Arabidopsis thaliana: one gene and its partners. The protein of the gene in region 4 interacts with the protein of the main gene of each other region in a pairwise test. Each region holds a gene or a part of one and is shown on either strand. Other genes may lie near its edges. The genes, in order: AT1G01230, FOLK, AT1G69460 and DER1.

The links.
Region 1: the proteins of DER1 (region 4) and AT1G01230 interact in a protein complementation assay, tested with the Arabidopsis thaliana proteins (one large-scale study listed by BioGRID).
Region 2: the proteins of DER1 (region 4) and FOLK interact in a protein complementation assay, tested with the Arabidopsis thaliana proteins (one large-scale study listed by BioGRID).
Region 3: the proteins of DER1 (region 4) and AT1G69460 interact in a protein complementation assay, tested with the Arabidopsis thaliana proteins (one large-scale study listed by BioGRID).

The regions. Positions count from the first base shown.
Region 1 is NC_003070.9:94,759-100,207, reverse strand, and holds AT1G01230 (ORMDL family protein), read right to left. Parts: upstream 2,797-5,449; 5' UTR 2,589-2,796; coding exon 2,403-2,588; intron 1,752-2,402; coding exon 1,603-1,751; intron 1,301-1,602; coding exon 1,162-1,300; 3' UTR 968-1,161; downstream 1-967. Other genes in the region: AT1G01225 (NC domain-containing protein-like protein), read right to left, coding at 2,966-3,654, 4,051-4,144; FKGP (L-fucokinase/GDP-L-fucose pyrophosphorylase), read right to left, coding at 4,656-5,048, 5,133-5,449.
Region 2 is NC_003076.8:23,667,538-23,673,689, reverse strand, and holds FOLK (Phosphatidate cytidylyltransferase family protein), read right to left. Parts: upstream 3,424-6,152; 5' UTR 3,178-3,423; coding exon 2,863-3,177; intron 2,060-2,862; coding exon 1,992-2,059; intron 1,906-1,991; coding exon 1,774-1,905; intron 1,635-1,773; coding exon 1,519-1,634; intron 1,413-1,518; coding exon 1,120-1,412; 3' UTR 821-1,119; downstream 1-820. Other genes in the region: AT5G58570 (uncharacterized protein), read left to right, coding at 560-820; EOL2 (ETO1-like 2), read left to right, coding at 5,216-6,152. UniProt on the Arabidopsis thaliana protein: Kinase involved in negative regulation of abscisic acid (ABA) signaling. Substrate preference is farnesol > geraniol > geranylgeraniol, but has no activity with farnesyl phosphate. Can use CTP > ATP > GTP = UTP as phosphoryl donor.
Region 3 is NC_003070.9:26,110,833-26,115,574, forward strand, and holds AT1G69460 (emp24/gp25L/p24 family/GOLD family protein), read right to left. Parts: upstream 2,425-4,742; 5' UTR 2,329-2,424; coding exon 2,116-2,328; intron 2,038-2,115; coding exon 1,828-2,037; intron 1,516-1,827; coding exon 1,439-1,515; intron 1,367-1,438; coding exon 1,222-1,366; 3' UTR 856-1,221; downstream 1-855. Other genes in the region: AT1G69470 (heat shock protein-binding protein), read left to right, coding at 2,743-3,165; AT1G69480 (EXS (ERD1/XPR1/SYG1) family protein), read right to left, coding at 3,355-3,597, 3,673-3,951, 4,048-4,197, 4,284-4,328, 4,398-4,502, 4,589-4,742. UniProt on the Arabidopsis thaliana protein: Involved in vesicular protein trafficking. Mainly functions in the early secretory pathway.
Region 4 is NC_003075.7:14,442,274-14,448,228, reverse strand, and holds DER1 (DERLIN-1), read right to left. Parts: upstream 3,677-5,955; 5' UTR 3,293-3,676; coding exon 3,276-3,292; intron 2,679-3,275; coding exon 2,543-2,678; intron 2,437-2,542; coding exon 2,363-2,436; intron 2,276-2,362; coding exon 2,182-2,275; intron 1,933-2,181; coding exon 1,804-1,932; intron 1,722-1,803; coding exon 1,561-1,721; coding exon of another isoform or gene 1,524-1,560; exon of another isoform or gene 1,467-1,523; coding exon 1,277-1,466; 3' UTR 992-1,276; downstream 1-991. Other genes in the region: PRF4 (profilin 4), read right to left, coding at 1-119, 380-511. UniProt on the Arabidopsis thaliana protein: May be involved in the degradation process of specific misfolded endoplasmic reticulum (ER) luminal proteins.

The DNA of each region.
Region 1 (5,449 bases), on a different chromosome or scaffold from region 4:
AATTCCAAAATCAGAAGTTGACCCAGGAAACAAAAATCATCACTGATCCATGAGAAAACAGTCTGATGGAAGAAACTAGAAGAACAGAGACTTTTATCTAAACAAAACCACGAAAACAGAGCAAAAGAGTAAGATTTGTAAAATAGATCAGAAAACGAAGTAACAACTAAAGATACCATTATTAGTAGTTTAAAGAATCCATGAATCACTCTAGAAACAAATGAAGCGATCTTGCGCGACCGAAGCTTTTGGCTTTTCTTCTCTTTTTTTTTAATTTTCGTTTCTCACACTCTCTGGCCCCATGGAACCAAATTTACAGTTTCTTCCGTAAAAGCTTCCGAGTTAGGGACACAAAACGACACAGTTTCAATAACTTGTTTGGCTTGGTAAGCATCTGAAACAGCTGGATTGACAACACGTGTTGGCTAAAGAGAGAATCGACGGCTATTACGATATGGACCCTACTTTCGATTTAATGGATAAGATGTTTTTATTTATTTTCTTACATTGGACCACAATAAGAAAAAAAAAAAAAAAAATCATTAGTCTTATTCCAACTTTAATTAGTCATTCTTTCGTTTTGTCGGCTTTAATTTTGCAGGATATATCATGTTTTCGGGGTCCAATTAGCATTCTCTTTTTTTTTTTAATCACGTTAATTGATTACTTTTGTTAGCTTTATTCAATTTTGAAGAGGGATTAACTATTTTGTATACGTACACCATGATATAATATCCATCCAGGTGGACTTTAACTATGACACGTGTCATTAACCAGCTGTTAGAGATCTTGTAGGCAGCCACGTGTTCTTTAGATCCCACTGAATCATTACGCTCAATCGAAAACATTCTGGTGTTATGATAACTCATGAGTCACCACGACAGGAATCTTTGGGCCATTGTTAAATTCAATTATTGTTCAAGCCCATATTGCTATTAGGCCCATTATCTGAAGTGAAGTGGGGAGATGAAGGGAAAGCTTTTTCGTGTCTATTATAAAAGGTAAAAGATGAAAGCTTCAAAATTAGAGAGTTTACTTACAAATATCCAACAAAAAACATGACTCGAGAATTAAACCAACTCATATGAACATTTACACATATATATGTTCGCTTATATCCCCTTTTCCTTCTTTCAGGTGTTCTCTTGCCGTAAAGGAAACTTATTTATCACCATTGATACCAAAGATGCGTACCTTGTGCATGTTGGGGAACTTGGCAACAACGAGAACCATCACAGCGAGTGTGTTGAGGAACAGCCATGGATGTCTGTAATCTGTTGTATGCGATGCAATCAAGTACCTGTTTTAAATGTGTCGTTATAAAGTCAGAAAACAAGTACAAAAGCTAAAGAGCTCAATCTTAAAAGTTCATCCAGATAAATGCAGCTCTTGTTTATACACATTATCGCGTATACAGAGTTCTCTAGAACTAGTCCGTTACACATCACCGGATTTAGATATGTGTATTGAGAAATTAGCATATTTATTAACCATATGAGACACAAGGATATATGCAGCTAAAGAAAATAATTTGCTAAGAAAATATAGATTGGAAATAGACAAGAGTGGTGAGATTTTGAGGAACAAGGTGCTGGGACTTACAGAACAACAGGAACTAGGGTAAGAAATTTGCGGTTGCGGGTAAGCTGTTGACCATTGTCCATTTGTTCCCACCAAGTTAAACCATTGTAGATTCCTTGGTCATCTGCAAAAGGAGTTCCTTTCATCCAGTGGAAGCTGTGATACGTTACCTGACAACAAATATCCACAAATTTCTACTCAGACATCACATTTTCCTAAAGAGTAATTAGAAATTAGATTAAATTTGGTTTTGACAATCAAGCAATGCCAATTTACAAGTCACCGCATTATATCAAACAGTTAGACCTTAAGAAATTGCATTGATGCCATAGGTAGTTTTAGTTTCTGATATCAAAAACTGATAATTCATTAACGAGAAGGTGCATCTTAATTCGAAGCCTGATCCAAAACCGATCAATTCAAACTTAGAAGAGAATTGCATCTTACTTAAAAGCCTGATCAACTCAACAGTCAACACTGCTGATAGTATCCAAACAGATCAATTCAAAATCGCTGATACCAAAACTGATCAATTCATTGATAAGAAGGTAACTGTATCCTAATTCGAAGCCTGATCCAAGCTCAACGATATACGATAGCTAAAACTGATCAATCAGAAGGTAATTGCCTCTTCATTCGAACCCTAAACCAACTAAAAAATTGCTAATAACCAAAGAGATCAATTCAAACACTAGAGCCAGATTCACATCCAGATCTCAGGAAATAAAAAAAAAACAAGGAATCAATCCATCATCTAATTTAAAGTCACAACCCTAAGTGAAAAAATCATCTCTAAAGCATAAACACAATCGAAGACTTACAACGAAGTGAGCGAGATTAACAACAGTCCAAGCCATTCCAGGGGAACAACCAGAGACAGAGAGAACAACGAGCCAACCGAAGAAGAGAATAAGCATGTAAGTCGTCCAAACTCCTGGATACATGAACCATTCCGTATTCCTATTCATATCCGGTGGTGGAACCGCTTTCACATACAGATTCGCCATTTCTTCTTCAATCAGATCGGATCGGATCGAATCTCGTCTTCTTTTGATCAAAATCTTATATTAACACCTGAACTAAAAACCCAGATTCACAAAATTCTCTATTTCGGCGAGAACAAGGATTGTTTGTTTCTTTGGTTTAATTTTGTGTGCCCGTGAAAGACGACGACTGCTTTTTTGCATCTACACTGGGCATTAATTAATTATTGGGATATTTTTGACATTACCCAAACCAAAACGTCTGCGTTTTCATTTTGTACAGACAGAAAATAGGCCAACAAATGCAATAAAGGGAACATAAAACCAACATGAGGATTCTAACTGAAATGTTTTCTTATGTATATCGAAATTCGTGAACAAAGGTGATAGGTATCTGTTTGTCACCTAACATAGTCGGTATCAGAATCTTCTTCTTCGTCTTCTTCTTCTTCTTCACCTTGCTCAATGGTCTTTACGTCAAGGTTGAGAGCCAAATCCTCAACTGAGACCTTAATGACGTCGCTTCTAACACCAATATCGGTAGCATAGCGACTCATACAGTACATACCAGCAGTAACTGTTGCCACACCAATGGGACTTGGAATAAGCAATTTGAAAGGAGAAGAGAGGAGTGCAGCCAAAGGAGCACCAACAATTGAAGAAGCTTGACCGCTTCTCCCTACACCGAGCTTATCCATTATAAGCAAACCGGTCTTGCAATAGAGCGCGAAATCCTCACAGTTGTTCTTGAAAATGTCGTAGTTGCCAAATCCGTTTTGGAGAAGGTACATTGCCCTGTGGATGACTGAATCAGTTGTATCAGATTGCGCGGTTGTGCAAGTCCCTCCGCGGACTTTGGTTAGGAAAACCGATGGACTGACTCCATATTCGAAGCAGTAGAGTGAGCCGTTCTTGAGGAAACAGTCTAAGCAAGAAAGGACTACTCCACTGTCCGGTTGTCTGAAACCGCAATCAGGAAATATGGAACAGATATCTTCAGAGGAAGATGATGATATTGATGATGTTGATGAATCCATGGGGTTGTGTTCAGGTCTGAAATGAACAACTTTGGACCCACCGACAAAGATTCCTGCAAAAATCCACAATCAAATCAAAGCCCATGAAGGAATGTCTACAACAGTATCAATTCTTCATCACCAGAGGAAATTGGGATAAAAATATGTCAAATAAACAAAAATCATCTATAAAGTCCATCAGAGATCAGAAGATATGATGGAATAACATCAAAATACAGAGCCAGGGTGAAATTAGGTCATGCAAAGATTGGAATATAGACCATTGTCTTCAAGATCTATCTAGATAAAGTCGTCAACTTTGTGAATTTACAGTTTCAATAAGAAGATTAAACCGACCAGTAGAAACTAAAAGAAAAGACTTGCATTGAGGATAATTTCACTTTTTGATGTTATGATTGAATGAACGAGAAAGAAAGGAGCAAACTTGGGAAGAATGAATCTAAAGTTACCGTGGTGAGAATAAGCGAAGATTGCTCTGTAAGTATAGATGTGATCTCCTGGCTTTAGCTCTTCTCTCTCAATCTTGTTCGTAAGCAAACCCATTTTTCTTCTTCTCTCTCTCTCTGCACAAAGCTTTTTTTTACCTTGCTTGTGGAAAATGCAGGAAACGGCGTTACAAGTGTAAGCTCTAACGGTGGGATCTGACGTCAGCGAGATAGGTAAGGTAAAGTAACGTTTTTTGGAGTGGCATTATCTAATTCGATAAACGAACTAGAGAGAGCTGTTGAGCAAACCCGTTACAGAGTCTTTTAACGGCGTTATCTCCAAATCCAAATGCTACCAACGTACTGATTTTCCGGGGCCTTTTGACCTTGATTCCAGGCAGGGGTAATACGGTCACTTCACAGCTTGGTGGTCGTTGAACTATGAAGTAAACCAACCAGAAGCAAGAAGAGAACGACTTGGTCAAGCAAAGGATTTTGTTTACCACACGACATCGTTTTTAATTGCAAATCTGAAAGATTCTTCTGCTTTTATTTTTTCCAAAGGTCCCAAAAAAATATATCAATTTACAAGAATCAAGATGATGACACACTGACACTGTATGTATCTTTCAAATACAGATGCTCCAGTTGTAAACTTTGACATCAAACTCTGCATGTTCTTCCAATCTCTGTCTTAACTCCTTGGCTTTCTCTGCGTCCTTAGCCAATATAAGTGAGAATCCACCACCACCTGCACCTACCAGCTTGAATCCTGAGCTATAAGGTTGCGAAAACTCAAAAAGCTTATCCACAAACTCATTGCTGCAATACGGATCCAGCTCTTGATGCAGTCTCCAAGCTTCTGACATTATGTCGCCTACCTCGTCAACTTCACAGTTCATCAACGCTTCTCTACCGGATTTCGCCAGCTCCGTCAATCGCTTAATGCTTGAAATTAGGAGATTATCTCTTTGCAAATACCTTGTAACGACCTTGTGTAGGACTTGATGAGCTAGCCTGACCTGTTTATATAAAAAAGGCATAAAATGAATGAGACTCTGTAGCTAACAAAAAATCTTTTCTTCCTCTCAGTGGTTGCTACTTACTTGACCCGTGAAAACAACAAGGAGGCGTTGCTCCAACTCTGAAATTAGCTGTGGCGAGGCGAGTAAAGGAACAACTTGAAGACGCATAGGGATTCCTGGAAAACTTGAAGTGAATTTGATTCCTGGATATAATCCACCAATCTGATCTTGCCAGCCACCTCCTGTACCCATGAGTTGCTCCAGAACCAAGACAAGTCTTGCAATGTTTTCATTGCTTTCATCTCCATTAGATATCTGGAGAAGTCCTTTCACAACAGCTGCAGCTAGAATGCTCGAGGTTCCTAGACCACTGCCACGAGGAACATTGGCCCATGTCT
Region 2 (6,152 bases), on a different chromosome or scaffold from region 4:
ATTAATACAAGCATACCACGTTTTCTTCTATTTCGAGAATGCGTGAAGAAGTTAGCAATTTTAAATGGGCCAAATCAAAGAGTAATTAATTTTTGTATTCATATAAATAAGGGCAGAAGAAGAAGCAACTAACATGAGACACAAGGTCGCTTCTCTCTTGAGGAAATTTCCGGGAAAGTCACGGAGTCGGTTATGGGAGCCACACGAAAAGGATTTTCTTCAAATTACGAAAACGACGTCGCACGTAAGATCCAAAAAGACCCAATCCAACGCCCCATATGTAGAGAGCAATCACTAACGAACGTCCCAGTCTCACTTTCTACACCAACCTTTATACAAAAATCCATCTACTAAATTATCCCAAAGAAATATATTTAAACTCTTCTTTTCTTCTGTGGTGACATATTGTTTTCATTTGATACATATTCTCCCAAGTCAAATTTATATTTCAGAGAGGAAAAAGAAACAGACACAAATCCCTCCAAGATGATGCATGACAGTATGAAGTAGGTATGAGCAAAGGAGTTGAGATTTGAGAATATTTGAGATTACCTCTCTAATGGTAACTTCTACGGTGGAGGCCTCGAGTCCTGAAGATGGCGAACGACTTACTTTCACTAGAGACAGACACTACGCCATGCATGGTGAGATCTTGACGGTAGTTCTTGTCATCAGCTTCGCCGTCTTCCTCTTGTTCCTCGTGTTGCTTCCTTGTCTGAAACGCCGTTACAGTCACCAGTCCGACCTGTCAGAAGAGGCTTCCTGGAGCGGGACACTCAAGCCCTCACCTGTTGTAAGCAAACAATCCATTTCCACATAGCCATAGGCCAAATAACAAACAAACATGTATTGAATATCTGTTACAAAAGAGTATCTGTTACAAATTGTAGAAGCGTCACTGTTCGTCATCATATGTCTCACTAATGGATAGAACATTACAACATTGTACCCAACTGCAATTGCAGCTGAAAAATAAGATTTGTGGACAACAACAATATGAGATGTTTCACTAATACGTACATACAGAAGAAGATGGGAACAATGAATGCAGTTTTACCTCCATATCAGCAATCAAGCTCGACCCTTTATTTGATGATACATAACAACGAGAGGGTATTATTAGAAGAGTAAGAATCCGGCCAAGGCAGAGGTTAAGGAAATGGTGAGATTGTCGTCAATGTCGGTGCTTATTGGGAGTGATTCCACAAGAGCTGATGCTATAGAGATGACGAGGAAACGAAGAATCATTCCCCCGCTATCCTCGATGTAACCAAATGAAGCAAAGTAGTACATATACGCAACAGATGCTAGAAACCCGGCGGTGGCCATTCCAATGCTACCAGCAAATGATTTGTTTTTGTTGTAAGGAAGCTTCTCTGTTCCAAACCGCCGACCCACAATGTCAGCCATACCTTTTAACAGCAAGTGTGTGTATTAGAATCATCATTCAATGGATTCAAATTCCTAAGACAAAAGTTGCTAATGTTATTGGATCAAACCAGAGCTAACTGTACTTACCATCTCCTGCGCAAAGGTTGCATATCACCGCAATCGCGATTGGGGATGATTTCCAATAGTAGATGCAGGCTGATGTGATTGACAGTACATAGTAAAGCGGCCCCTTAAGTAGTTCCCTGATGCAGAGAGCGACTACAGACACTTTGTGAAGTGACAAAAGCAATAATAAACAGACAAACCGAATTTTGATCATAGATACCAAGAATGCTAAGAGATTGTTGGATATTGTGACAGACACTTGTTCGATTCAGCTACCTGCGATCTCCATGTCTGCTCATTGACTTGATTGTTCCTTCGTCGTGGTACACTCCAAGCCCCAGCAATAGCATCCTTACTATATTGAGTCCAGGTACAAGAGATGCGAAAAGTGCTCCTTGGATTCCAGAACTGAAACAATTGATATCGAAATAAACTGGTGAAGCAGAAAAGCAAGCTGGTACATCAAAATCGATCCTTTCACTCCGTATTATTACCTGAACAGCGGCCAGCAAAGCATAAAAACTAGCCCAATATTTATATGCACAAGCTTCCGGATGAGTTTCTGAAAAATAAGAAATAACACCAATGTCAACCACAGATGTTAAACCAATGCCTCATTCAATAAAACCATGAAAGTGGAGTCAGTCCTACATCAGACAGCCTGTGGATCTTATAAATTCAATGGGTTCTGAGATGATATCTTAATCACGATAAGGTCAGAGAAACAAAATCAAGTAGCTGAAGCCATACAGGTATTCCCAAACCAAAAATGTTTAATAGAATTTTTGCTAATCATAGATAATTCCTCTACTCCTAACCAAATTACTTGAAGAAAAACAAGTCACTGCGGAGAAACACATAAGAGAAAGGAAAAAAAAACAAGCCATGTCCAATATGTGTATAGACTGACTCATACGAAGAAATAATCCTTCAAAGTATAGCAAAGAAATTGTGCAACATTTAAACCTACAAAATTCATATATATCATAAATATGGTTGAATCTTCAAGTTACGATGAGATTGTGATTATACCGCACGAATTTCAAAAAAATTTCATCCCCAAATTGGGTTCTGAGCAATTTTCCCACTAATTTACCAGATATGGGGTTACTTTCCCATTGTTTATCGCAGTGTTCTTCCACCCCAAAATAGGTATCCATTCACATTCTATAATTTCTTGAACTAATAAGATTTATTATCCTCGCCATTAATGCCATCCATTACTCGATAAAGCTTACTACTACCATTACTCTGAATCCAAAGTTGCTTTAACCAGAAATTGCAGAATCGAGCAACATTCCAAAAACGTTATTCAACAAATCGACGCGTGTATAATTTAATTAAGTGAATTGAATGATCGAAAACCTGGTCGAAGATGCCACGTTTGCCAATCTCTCCCCAGAAACCGAGGCACGAGAACGCAACGATGCTAGTGACTCCAAACGCGCAGACATCTGATAAAACCGAATTTTCCGGAAACATCACGGCGGCGAGTGAAGACTTGCGGATTTTGGTGGCCGGAAACCTAGAGCTCGATCTAAAGCTAGTCGCGATTCGGACAGTGAGGAATCGTGGAATCGGAGAGAAGAAGGCGAGAGAAGGAGGAGAGTCAACGAGAGGAGATGAAATGAAAGAGCAGCAGAGAACGGAGAGCTTTGTAGTAGTACTAGTAGTTGCCATTTTCTGCAACACTAGAAAACACGACCTTTTCTTCGATTACGTTTTCATTTATTTTTTTTGACAGTAACTGGTTGGTAGTTGTTGTTGCTCAAGCACACAAAATTTGGTTTGTTTTATTGTTTACCAAAAAGATGGTGAAAAGTGGATATTTATTTCCCCAAAAGGAGTGTTTTACTTTATCTGGTCACATATGGATTAAAGCAATTTTAGTTTCGTTCTATTTGGATTCGGCTAGAATGGTTCATGACATGGTGGTGTTCGTTTGAGGAAACGCATAATTTGTTATTGTGGGCCTAGTTTGGGCTTTATATTCGCTAAATAATTTGGGCTGGTATAAGTCAACTAGACGGACCACAATTTGATTTCATCAAATAATTTTTCATGATTAATAAATCCCTAATTTAGTTACGAAACACAATTCAATTATTGTGCTACTCAGATTCGAGAAACATAAAAAAAAAAAAAAAAAAAGTGATTCAGATTCCCTCACATGGGTTGCCGAGACACATGACCACACGTCTCTTGCCTTGTTTAATCTTTTATCAATTTTGCATCAACTTGTATATACCATAAGAAAATTATTTTAATTGATTTCAATGTGAGATTTTCTTTAGTATTTTTTGCATCAAATAATGCCAACCTAATCCTCAATTATCCATCTTTATTTTTTTTCTGAAACAATCTTATATTATTTATCTGTTGGCAAAAGAAAAAAAATCCTCAATTATTTCGCAAATGGTATATATGTTTATCTTTAAAGAGTACACTTGCATGTGTTTTCCAGGTGTGCGGGCAAAAGAACATCAGAATTGGTTCTGGATATAGTTCTCTCCACTTTTTATTTGTTATTGTTTTAATACAGTACGTTTTATGAGAGTTTTTTATATATATAATAAATTATGCGTTTCCTGATAGTTGTTGGTCCAATATCGAGAACAAAAAAAACTAACTACAAGCTAAAAACCTAAAACTATGAAGATCTCAGAAAATATAAATATACACGCTCACGTTAGCGAGTAAAAAAGTAGACACCAGATTAACAAATGATTAGTGTGATCACAGTAAAGAAATGTTTTGCAAAATTTTAAGCAATTTTTTGAAATCATGTTGTATGTAATAAATTGAGTAAATTCATGCTGTACATAAATTAAAGACCATTTCTTTGTTAGTCATTGAAATCATAACCAATCAACCAATAAAACTGAATTTTTTTCGTTCATTAGAGAGATAAGTTAATATCTTCAAAGTTTAATGTTAAGCTCAATTGTTTAGATAGGAGATAACCGATAAGAAACCACATAACTAGTTAACCTACCTATCTTGGCATCACATGAATCAATGACGTTGGATAGTCAGAGAGGCTTATTTTAATTATACCCGAAACGAACCAACCATCTATAATTCTCTAAACTATATTTAATCATCATATAACTCTGTAATAAACCCAAATTTTCACAAATTAAAAGCCATACCAATATCTTCAAATATGGAAAAAAATAACAATTTAACAAAGAAACAAAATATTTCCTCACCAAAAAAACAGAAACAAAATATTGTTTTAAAAAAGGAAAGTGGTCTTTACACAAAAAGGAAAGAGAAAGGAAAGTGGTCTGGTTCGTATCGCACCCAATAAGAACCACCAACTGTTGAAGTTCGTAAACTGTTCCACAAAAAAATGCATAAAAGAAAGAAAAACAGATATGAGATTCGACCATTTTTTTTCCATATAAATGTTTTTTGGGTTTGCAAAAATCGACGCCATTACTCTTTTTTCTCCCCAAATTATTGACCTTTTTATAAAAATAATTTATATTCTCAATCACACTTCATCGTCTTCTTCTTCCTCTCTCTCTCTCTCTCCTTTTTGTCTCTGCACTGTGTGTTGTCACCGGAGACAGAGCTTGTGTTTTCAACTCTCTCTCTCTCTCTCTCTCTCTCTCTCTCTCTCTCTCTCTCTCTCTCTTGCTCTCTCCGTCTCCCTCACTCTCTCTTTACTTCAAAATCAAACCCTTTTCTCAGATTTCTGTGATATAGCAAAATGCGCAATCTCAAACTCTTTGAGAGATTTAAAAGCACTCAAGTCCACGCCTTTACTACACAAGACTCTCCCTCTACAAGCAGCAATGGTAGCCCTCGAATGATGAAGTTCCTTGGGCATCCCAAATCCAAATCTCGTTCACTTCTCCCTCATGGCTTTCCCACCACAGACCTCCTCGAGCCTCCCTTGGACTCTTACCTCAAACCTATCGATTTGGTGGAGTCATTATCAAATCTATATCGGAGAATCGAGTCCAGTTCGGAATCCGAGGCATCGATGCTCTACCTTGAGCAGTACGCTGTTCTCCGCAGTCTCGGTGATGCCAAGCTCTTGCGTAGGTGCCTTCTCAACGCTAGGAGGCACGCCATTGATGTCCCTTGTAAGGTTGTTTTCTCTGCTTGGTTGAGATTTTTTAGGAGAGAACATGAACTTGTGGGAGTTGAATCTATGGATTGTAATGGGCTTGCTTCTGAATGTCCGAAGACTAGTTTGACTCATGGTTGTGATTTGAATGTAGACGACGAGGGTTGTGAATGTTCTACGGTATGTGAGGATGAATTTGGTAGTGATGACGTTAAAATCTCTAAGGCTGATGAGTTTTCGGGTCTAGATGAGGTTAGCGATATTTCCTTCTGCGTAGGTTCAGAGAAGGCTAAGTGTGTTAGGTCGAGAATCGCAGCGCTTTCGCGTCCTTTTGAGGCCATGTTGTATGGTTCTTTCGTGGAATCAACAACTTCTGAGATTGATTTCTCGGAAAATGGCATCTCTATTGAGGCAATGTTGGCACTCAACATATATAGTAGAATCAAAAGAGTTGATCTGTTTCGTGTGGAAACTGTATTTGAGCTGCTTCAATTAGCCAGCAAATTCTGTTGCGATGATCTGAAGTCTGAATGTGAGGCTCGCTTGGCTGCTTCTGTCACTGACCTTGATAAAG
Region 3 (4,742 bases), on a different chromosome or scaffold from region 4:
ACTAGTGAATTGGCTAAATCATAATTTTATTTTCCTTCTTATGATTTAATTGTTGAATATTGATAATCTTTTTTACAATAGTAGTATGACTTGTGATTTTACTTACTATATAAAAAAATACATCGGTTTTTTGCGTAGCGTATTTTTAAACATTTTGATATATCCTATTGGAAGAAGCTAAATTGGAGCTTTCATCACAGATTTTTCTCTGAATCACTTTCAGTTCCGATTGGGTTTGGTCTTCCTCCACCGATGGACAACAACTTCTGTCGACTTAAAGATTCTGGCGTCTCAGATTCTTCGATTAAACATATAAACGGCTTGATTCATCGAAAATCATAGATTAATGATTTTTGATTTTGTCGCGAGAAACAGAGAAAGAAAAGAGAGTGGTCGGGAATAAAAAAGAGACCGAGAAAAAAAATGGGAAAAAAAGAAATGGTTTCTTTTTTGTTTTGTTAAATATGACTATTCAATCACGTTAGGACATGTCGTCGACCCTCACAAATCTCTCTTCTAGCTCTCTTAATTTTACGTATTTTTGAATTATTTTTTTCTAAGTTAATTTAGAGAACTCTGAAATTTCTTAAGAGAGACTCCCATTGGAGATGGCCTTAGTATCTTCAATTTTATTCTCATGATCACTGCCTCCAATTTAAAGATATTGTATAATGGTTTCTCCTACCGACATTCAAACTAGGAATTTTTTTCTAGTTTCATCCAAATCCAAAACCTTAATGGATCTCTGTTTTTTTCTACTTTATTTCTTTTGTAACACGTCTGTATTATTTTTTTGTTCTATTGAATTTGAATAAGATTTTTTTGTTTTTAAAAGAACAATAATAATATGTAACACGACGAAGTACCCAAGGTTCCACTTCTATTCCAAAATATGAAATAACATGTTTACATATAAATTATAAATATCAGAGTGAGTCCAATAATTGGTTCTGATTGAGATAAGCTGTATAATCTAAAACCTCAGACAAACACAATTTATTTGACTTTAAACCATCAAAGTATCCTAAAGGACCAACAAATCTAAACAAAAACTAAACTTATCTTGGAAAAAAGCAAATAAAGCCACACAAATAAAATTCCCAAGTCTCAGAGAACAGAGTCATAGCCATTGATCTAATGTACAACACCCAAAAGAAGAGAAGATTGATTGTTTGGGCTAAGAAAACAGAAAGAGCGTAACCAACCCCGTAGTAGAGAGTTTCAGATAACCTTCTTCTTCTCGAAAAACGTCTTCAAGTGCAAAAACTGCATCCCTGCAACTCCTATGCAGACGAAAAACGAGAGAACACTCAACCACGCCATTTTTGTGTTAGTGGACCGGTTCAAGTCTTGCATCTCTTCTTCCCTGAGACCACACCACAATCAAGTCATATAAACAATATCTTCATAATACCAAACAATAGAGAAAGAAAAGTACCTATCTCTAAGATAATACATCTCTTCATGAATCGAGTTAACAGTATCAAGAAGACTCTTTACTTCAAATTCCATAACCTGCCACAAAAATGCATAACAACAACACACATGGAGGATCAACATAGTAACCAGCCACTAGCTTCAACAATTCCGCTACTACAATTCTGAAGCTGTGAAACTTTCGTTATCTATTCTTATAATCAGACCAGCTTCTCATAATCCACACAAAGAGAAGAGAAATTGAACTCACTTCAGTTCAAACTGATCATAAGAACACACAATGGAGTATCATCAACATAGTAACAAGCCTAACACTAACTTCAACAATTTCGTTATATCTATGTATATAATCAGAATCAGCTTCTCATAATCTACACACAGAGAACTTACTTCGACTTGACTCTTCTTAGCAACATTAGCCCAGCTTTTAGATTGAACACCAGTCTTCCACTCAAAGTCAATACTCAACGAAACCTCAGGCTTATGATCAACAGCAGTGAAACAAGCCATGTAATCACCTGCTTCAACAGCCGAGAATGCGAATTGTCCTGAATCTACTTGTTCCGCGTGATGGTAATTGTTACCGGAATTAGACGTCACCTTCACACATAACCAAAACTCAGATCTATGGACAAAATTTTAACAAATTAGGTCAAAATTAGAAAGATCTGTGTTTACCTTGACGGAAATTTTGTGAGTTTGTGGTAAAGCTTGACCTTCGTGAGGATTATCGATGTTGTATTTACCAACAGTCATTGAATTGCTTTTGATGTCTTCGGCGATACACTTTGTGCGACCTGAGTGTAGATCGAAGTGAAGCGAGTGTGAAATTGGTGACCAAATCGCTAGAATTAGAAGCATCGTCCATAGTTTTTGCGATTGGAGAAACATTTTTGAAAAATCCAGAGAAATCGAATCTCTCTTCGTCTTCCTTTTGCTTCTTCCTCGATTGTGTAGACGAAGCTCGATGACGATGCAAGTGTTTTGACACGTGTATATGTTTTATTGGTTAAAACACATAAGTGTGAACAGCTTCAGATTACAAACCGATCCTGAATTATTTGGTTCTGCTTAATAAACCGGTTTGGTTTAGCATTATGTGATCCTTGCGTCTTAAGGAACCGGTATGGTTTACCTTTGTGTAAATTTCCTTTTTTTAGGGTACAAAAAAATGCAGAACTTTCCTTTTCTCGGTTAAAAAAAAAAGGAAAGTAAACAACGAACACCATTACTTAACTTTGGAGTGAGTTTCTAATACTGAGTTACTTGAGCCGTAACCGTAAGAGATCATTCATGCTTGAGAGAATGTCAAAAAAGATTAACGAGCTTCTTCGTTACTGTGAAGAGAACTATATTGAGAGAGGAAGTCTCGAACTTGCATTACGATGTGCTGTTTCAATCTGCAAAGCGAATCCTGACGCTCCTCAAGCTTATGCACACGTCGCCGCTTACAGAATCCTTTTGACGGCAGCCAATTATCGTACGGTCACAGGAGAGCCTGACTGGTACGCTGTGTTGGGAATCAACAAACGCGGATCCTCAAAGTCTGTGGTGAACGCTATTGATAGGCGGTGCGAGGAGATCATAGAGGTGTTGGATGGCGAAACTGGGGTCTCCAAAGCTGTTTCGAGGGTTTATGATCTGGTCAGACTTGGCGTATCGGAGTTGATGGACGAAGATAGGAGAAGAGCGTATGATCTCCGTTCTGGATTTTCTATTATCAACTGAATCTAAAACTTTTTGAAGTTTTAATTTTTCAAGCAAAGTTTGTAATCTCTCTATGTTTTCCTATGGATTCATGTATGTATATGTCTTTCCATGTTGAACTTTTCCTATTAAGGCTAATATATATCTGTAGTTTTAGTGAATCATCATCAAACATAATCAGAGAGTGTGTTATTAACTTATAAGGATGGCTCAGTCATCTTTGTCAACATCGTCGTCATCGTAGTAATGGAAAGGATGTGGAACTGACTTGAAGGCTCTGTATTTGCCTACATTGTTCAAGTGCTCATTCTCCAACCTGAAGAAGCTCCATATTCCCCGACGAATAATCTCTAAACATGAAATAATGCTTGTTACTGCGATTTTGTGAAGCGACTTCAAGTTGAACTCTAGCACTAGCTGCATCCATGCCACTCTTAGAATCACATTCACTACCTGTCAAAATCAAATATGATTCAACCAGAATCTTTAGAACATGACATATTCTGATGTTAAAATGTTACTACTTACCATGGCTGCAAAATAGACGCTTTTGTGAGGGACCAGTAATTTGTCCCTTAAGTATGGGTTCTTGGAGTGCTTACGGAGGAGTCCCCAGTCTATAACAATGTCCCAGAATGTGTTCATCCCTGTCGCTACACCTGAGCTTACAAGAGCCAAAATCATCCAAGTGCGTCCCTTTTTCAGTTCATACGCTGTTCTTACGATGACTGCAATGATTGTCAACATATATTTCAACGCATTGTATCCGTGTACGGATTCTTTTTCTTCGCATAATCTGCGTATGCACTGCAAAAAAGTGAATACATGTAAGTTATAGATTCGGATGTGACAGAATCAGTGAAGGCAGTAATAAAAAAAGGAAGAGATTGAATTGTGTGAAACCTGGAGGAAGCGGAGCCAGTAGGGTATAACAGCAACGACAAAGTAGAAGGCATTGTAAACACCATGACTATGACACTTGTTTTGCCTCTGCAAGTATTCTCCTAAGCCATAGTAGCAAATGAATAGCTCAAAGCTCCTTATGGCTTGTATCTGAACTTATCAAAACAAAAAACATCAGTCTATTATTCTGATCATTTATTGTCATTTTTCAGCAAACATTAATGCAAATATATAACCTGACTGGTTAGGTGGTCTCCCAAGAAAAAATCTGGAAGTGTGACCTGTGATAAAGGATAAAATCATGAAGATGAATATTGAATAACATCCAGGAGTCAATTTAATACGATTACCTCGTAGAGGGGGGCACATATACAGTGAAACAGTGATCGTATAAAGAAAAACCGACTTGAGCGGTATATGATGTTGAAAGGACAAAAAAGTATGAAAAGAACAATCTGCAAAAAAAAAAGAGATGTTTAAGCCTGACGGATTCCATCTGATAACGATTGCACAAAATGTAAACACCAAAAGAATATCTTACAGTGGCCAAACACAAAGGAATAACTTCAGGGAGTGTCTTATGATGTTTCATCCTCCAGTCCATATCAAGCTGCAAATTTAGCAGGAAACAGACAAAAGCAAGCACCGCAAGACCGGTGCTTACCAGGAAAACTTCTCGGTCACCCAACTCTGTT
Region 4 (5,955 bases):
GCCCCGGGCTCACCTTGGATCACCATGTACTTTGCTCCTGCCATGAATAATCCCGTGGGTGCCAAGTGACCCGGTTCGTCGAAATCTTTCATAATATCACTGAACTCCTGTCCCTTGAACTATATGAAAGACCAAATCACGATTAGTCGATTACCATGAGACAACATGCATCATTTGTTTTCAAATCTATGCAAAACATATAAAAAGAAACACACACACACAAAATACACTATATATATATCCCATGACAAACATTGATAGAATCTAATCAAAACATGATGCATGATCTAAATCACATTGTAAAAACACATATCATATCGGATAGCAACACTATCAGGATCTAAATCACATTGAGATCAGACGCAATGAAATCAAATACCTGAGGGAAGTTGGCGCTCTGAGCCCAAACGCTACCGTCATGACCAACGATAGCGGCAGCAGTAAGGTGGTGTCCTTGACCATCGCCAACATCACACATCAAATGCTCATCAACGTAAGTTTGCCACGACATCTTCTTCTTCTTTTCTTATTTTTTTTCTTCTTCTTTGTTTATGATCTATACGTTAAGTGCCCCGGTTATGTGCAGCGTGGGGACTTCGTCCTTCAGATAAATAGGAGAGGAAGGAACAAGGATCATTTTAAAACCGTTGGATCACATAGACGAATTCTCAGCCCTACATCTTACTTTTTCTTCAAAAAAACAAGGAGTGATTTTCAATTAGTGCCGCTCAAGTTTCGCCTTTGTTATAGCTCAATCATTGTTTCGCTATTTGCCACGTCTACTTTCTTCCCTTTTCCTATTTCCCCTATTTATAAACGATCACCAACGGCATTTTAGAGGAAGGACCGAAGGAATGATTATTTACTCGTTAGTCGTAATCTTGTTAGCCAATAATAATATTATGTCCTAAAAAATTCAAACTTGTTACGACCAAACTCTTTGGTCACGAATTTAATAACTTATCTAGATAGATATTCAAACTCGTTACGTCCAAATTCTTATGTCACAAATTTCATTTGATTATATTCATAGTGGCTATAGTTTATCGAATTCAATTTAGTAAGGAGATGATTGCTAGACAAAAACAAAAACATAGAAACATGAACCACATTTTGAAAAGAACATTGTATTAAAACCTCAAAGATTCTTCCTACAGAGTCATATATTCAAAAACTGTACTGTTCGAAAACACAAAGCTACCTGGGATTAGTTAGTGGCATTGTTTGAAAAAGATTTGATATGATGAAAACAAAGAAACTCGAGAAGATTTCTATTTCAGTCGGTGAGACGATATGATCGACCTCTGAATGCTGTGTTTGAACTCTCGGGTGGGGCACGAGCGCTTGAATAAGCTCCTCCTCCTCCTACTCCTCCTCCAGCTCCGGGTCCTGCTGCTCCTACACCACCTGCTTGTCGAACACTTGCAACTGGAGCTCCAATTCGCCATCTTGCTACGATTTTATTACTGTTGAGAATGTCAAGGTACAACAGCAAAACAAAAACTGAGAAGCGAGAGAAACAATCATCTGGAAATAATCGAGAATTTGAATAAAGGATACACCCATTTTGGGGTTTTCAGGTAGTTTTTTCCGGTAGCAAGAGGATGAAGGACTGTTAGGAAGTAGTATAGATGTCCAGCTATGATGCCAAGAAGATCTGGCATGATCGGAGAACCGAAGATAACATCAAGTGCTAGCATTGCCCATGGGAGGTAGAAAGCCTGTGGAGTAATTCCAACTTTCACCATTAACATTATATATACCAAGGAGTGGATTTGATTACAAAAGAAACACTTTCAATACCTTAAGAGTGACAAGACCGTATAGGCTGATGTTGGCATTTGGAAATTCTCGGCTCCAGAGATAAAGAAGCATGAACACAAGTGAAACACCAAGAAACGGTGTCCAGAAAAATGGTATGACTGATAATACCTGAAATTTGAACAAGGTAACTGTTTTAACACACGGATTTACTAGTATGAATACCTTCCAAAATTTTGTCTCGCTTTAATAAAATGCAACCCTGATTCAATTCTTTGAGAGCTTCTGATCTTCTCAGCTTTGGGATATTATGTACCAGCGATTATCTACTTTGTGGCATACCACATACTAGTACTGGGGTTCTCAAAGAACCAATAACAATGATCAGTAAGAATAGAATACAGGGGAGGCTTTACATACCAATAGAGTGAAGGATCCAAAGATCATCATCCACAAAAAGTCTGCTGTCCGCCTTTCAAATGGCCCTTTCTCGAGTTGAACTCCATATCTTGCTCTGCACAATCATTTAAAAGAGTATGTTAAGATAATAAAAATCGAAATTAGCTTTGTTCATCTATATATGTGAAAATAGTATGCTCACATCATCAAAAGACGTATTCCAAAATTGATAGAGAAACCACCGAGGAAAAACAAGTTTGTTATCAGCCTCCAGATCTACAAACACCAAATAGATCAAAAATTGCAGAATGAATTAGGAACTTAGGATGACAGAGATTTGTGAGAAAGAAAGGAAAATCATAAAAAAGAATAAATCATATACCTGGAACTGCTTAAGTACAAGTTCAGGAATTAAAGCAATGTGAACGGGAGCAACTAAGCCAAGCTGCGTGGCTACTGTAGTGAAAAAGCACAACGTACCATAAGCCTTGGTTATAGGTGGAAGTGAGTTATAGAATCTGCAATCAATAACAAGCGATCTAAGAAACAATTTGACAGATAAACAATCAAAATCATACATATTCCATCCATCTATAAATTTCTAATCAGGAAATGTCATCAAGATCAGCTAAAGCATAAAACTTTACCACAAGAGACAAGCCTACGCAGAGATATTTTAGACTATCGTAGCTAGGAGAATCAAAGTAGCCTTGTAACTATGATACAGCAAACGAGAACAGTTTTGCTTCAAGACACTATGAGATTCCATATTTCAAGAACTAACTACCAGTTGACTTGTACTAACTTCCATGGCATAAAAGATGTTTCTTTACATCTCAAATCACCAAAATATCAAATGATGACAATGCAAATTGATAACTATATACTAAAAATAGCGTTAGCTCAAGTTCACAGAACTCGCTTGGTGTTGCAAAATTACGCTCGAATTGAGAAGAATCAACAGTTGAATGCTTCAAAAACCCCTATACAAGCTAAACGAATCATGAAAATTATTAACCTAAGGACTCAAAATCCTGGGTACGAAGACCAAGCTAAGAATCTCTCGATCAAAATCGAATCGAAGCAAAGTTTCAATAGAGGGGAACGGAACTCACTCGCCAGGAGAAGACATGTTCGTCGATTTTCGAAGATCCGAGGTTCTGAGTCCGATTCAAGATTCGAGATCCGATATAAGCTTTGAGAGCACCGCAAAACAGAAGCTCGAAAGTTCCAGAATTTTTTTTCCTTCTAATCATCTGAAAACTCAAATCACTTGTTTTTGTTAGGCAGCTGCGTAAGTTATCCAATCATACCTTGCCACGTCGTGTTAATTCACCGTCTTGAATACGTGGCACGTTTTAATTTGTAATCGTGTTTAAACTTGTGGGATCAATTTCTCTTCTTTCTGATGCGTCTCTACTCTCTAGTAGTCTGTCTCTATGATGATCCCCAGTTGGCCAGTTTATTGAATTGGGCCAAAGAGGCTTTTATTTGACCCATTAATAGATCAGGCTCGAATTAGATATGTTTATAAATGTTTTTTTCTTTGCCAAAAAAAATAATGTAAGAATATGAACCCTAACAAATTAACAAGAAAAGACAATGCAAAGGGAATCTAATCTCAAGGAATATCAAAATTAGAGAAACATTAGCATTAAAGCAATGATCTTTCGCAAGTATGGTCGGAACCAAAGATCCGAGATTTATTATTAGTTTCAATAATAATGTGTTTTTAAGGTAATTAAACAGAAAATCAAGATTATTTAACCTGGATTAGGTACGGGAGAGGGTCCATGTGCATGTGACGGGTCCCAACCAGATAATCTTGACCCGATTCGATCTCACTCCTTGTCTGCTGACTCATCCTTACGTCATTCCACACAATGCTTTGTTATTTGTTATTTTGTTGGTTTTGCGTGGAACTGCAAGGTAAATTGATCAATAATAATAATGTATTTTCTAATTATAATCTGCTAAAAATAATATTGTAATTTCTCATTAACTGTAAACAATTTTAGTATTAAAAGAATTTTACAATGAATTTCAAAACTGATTTGATGTTGTCCTATGTAGTTTTAAACAAATAGTAGTAGACGTTCTTTTCATAACTTAGAAAGATTATTGTGATATTGAGCAATATCGATCTTCAATGTTTATATTTGAATAAGAATCTCAAGATTTAAAAATAATTTCTTAAACACAATCAATAGGGTTGGTACATAAACAATTACAAGTTTTTTAACAGTAAAAACCGTTTATACCGTTATGTTCTTGTACTGCTTTATTTTATTTTTACCTCACAATAGAACGAGATATCTCTTCTCGTTACAAATCACACCTAGCTAATACAACATAATACCTATTGTTGAATACAAATATTAAGATACGATACGGAGACAATATCTGAACTATAATTAAGTTGATAAGCATTTTTGGCACCACATTACGAGATATGCCAATATGCCACTTGGTTTCTTTTGGAGTATATGCGAAATATAAGTTTGATCAAAGAGTAGTGTTAGTGCTTAGGTGGTTAACATATGTTTGATAAAAAATGTGACATGGTATAGATCATGTGAGTTGTTAGATACGTTATAAGATTTCATTTCATGACCTTATATAACTTATTAAATATTAGTTCGTTGTAATGTTCCTAAGTTAGAGCTTTTTATTGGTCGTTACGTTGGAGGCTACGTAAGTGGGTTTCATGCATAGTCACGCGAAAACAGCTTTTGGACGGCTAAATACCCCTTCTAATTATATGATTGATTAAAAAACATGTATAATCTACACAGTTAACAGTTTACTAACTATACTTTTTTACATTATCGTTGAGAAAATGAATAAGATTAAAGGGTCCCTAGATTAAATGTGAGTGGAAAAGAAAAGAAAAAAGGTTTTGGTTCTTTTGGATTGTTTGACCTATCGATAGAGACATCGCAATGGAACTTGCCAATGGCGAGAGAGGAACATGCAAATTTCATTACATTGTGATAAGTTAAATCCCGGAAAAGGAGGGAGGAGAGAAAACGACATATTTGCAACCAAAAGAAAAAAGTGATAGAAAGATGCGTTTAAAAAAGCAAACAAACTAAAATCATTTATGAACAAGGAAAACAAGAGACCGAGCTTGTCAAATGGCAAAAATGGTGGACCTATCCATGTTTCAGTAATTCGCATGTTTAATGTCGGGAAACTAGTTTTTCGTTTTTTTCTCCCATTGTTTTGTGATAGAAATGACAAATTTAATACTCACAAATTTAAAACCACCCACATATTTAGCTAAACTCACAACTGATAAATGTGATTCTTAGTATTTGAATCGAAAAAGAGTGGTAAGGTAAGTTCAATACTTCCCCACCAAAAAAAATATAACATTAGAAAAATCTAGTTGATCAATAGTGTTAACATGCAAATTCCGTATGTATATGATAAATAGCAAACTATATTTTTCGTGATTTAAATAACTCTGGATGCAAATGGCCGAACATTGTTTTTCAAAACCAAATTGGAATCAGTGGGTTGAACGAATCCGACCAATATCCATATCAAAACTGATTCTGAATAAATCGGACCTAGTGCCTAGTATAGTAGCTTGGCCCTAGCGCATAGCTAGTAAATTGATTGTTCGAGGTTTTGTTTTCATTTGCGAGAAGAGTATTATTACTTACATGCATTGGTTATTTTGTTTCCTTCATTTTTTATCTCTTTTTTTGTCAAAGCCATAGATGCATTGAATATTCATCAGGAAAAAAAGAAAAAATTAGCAACTTGGGCAAATGTCTTCTTAAAACA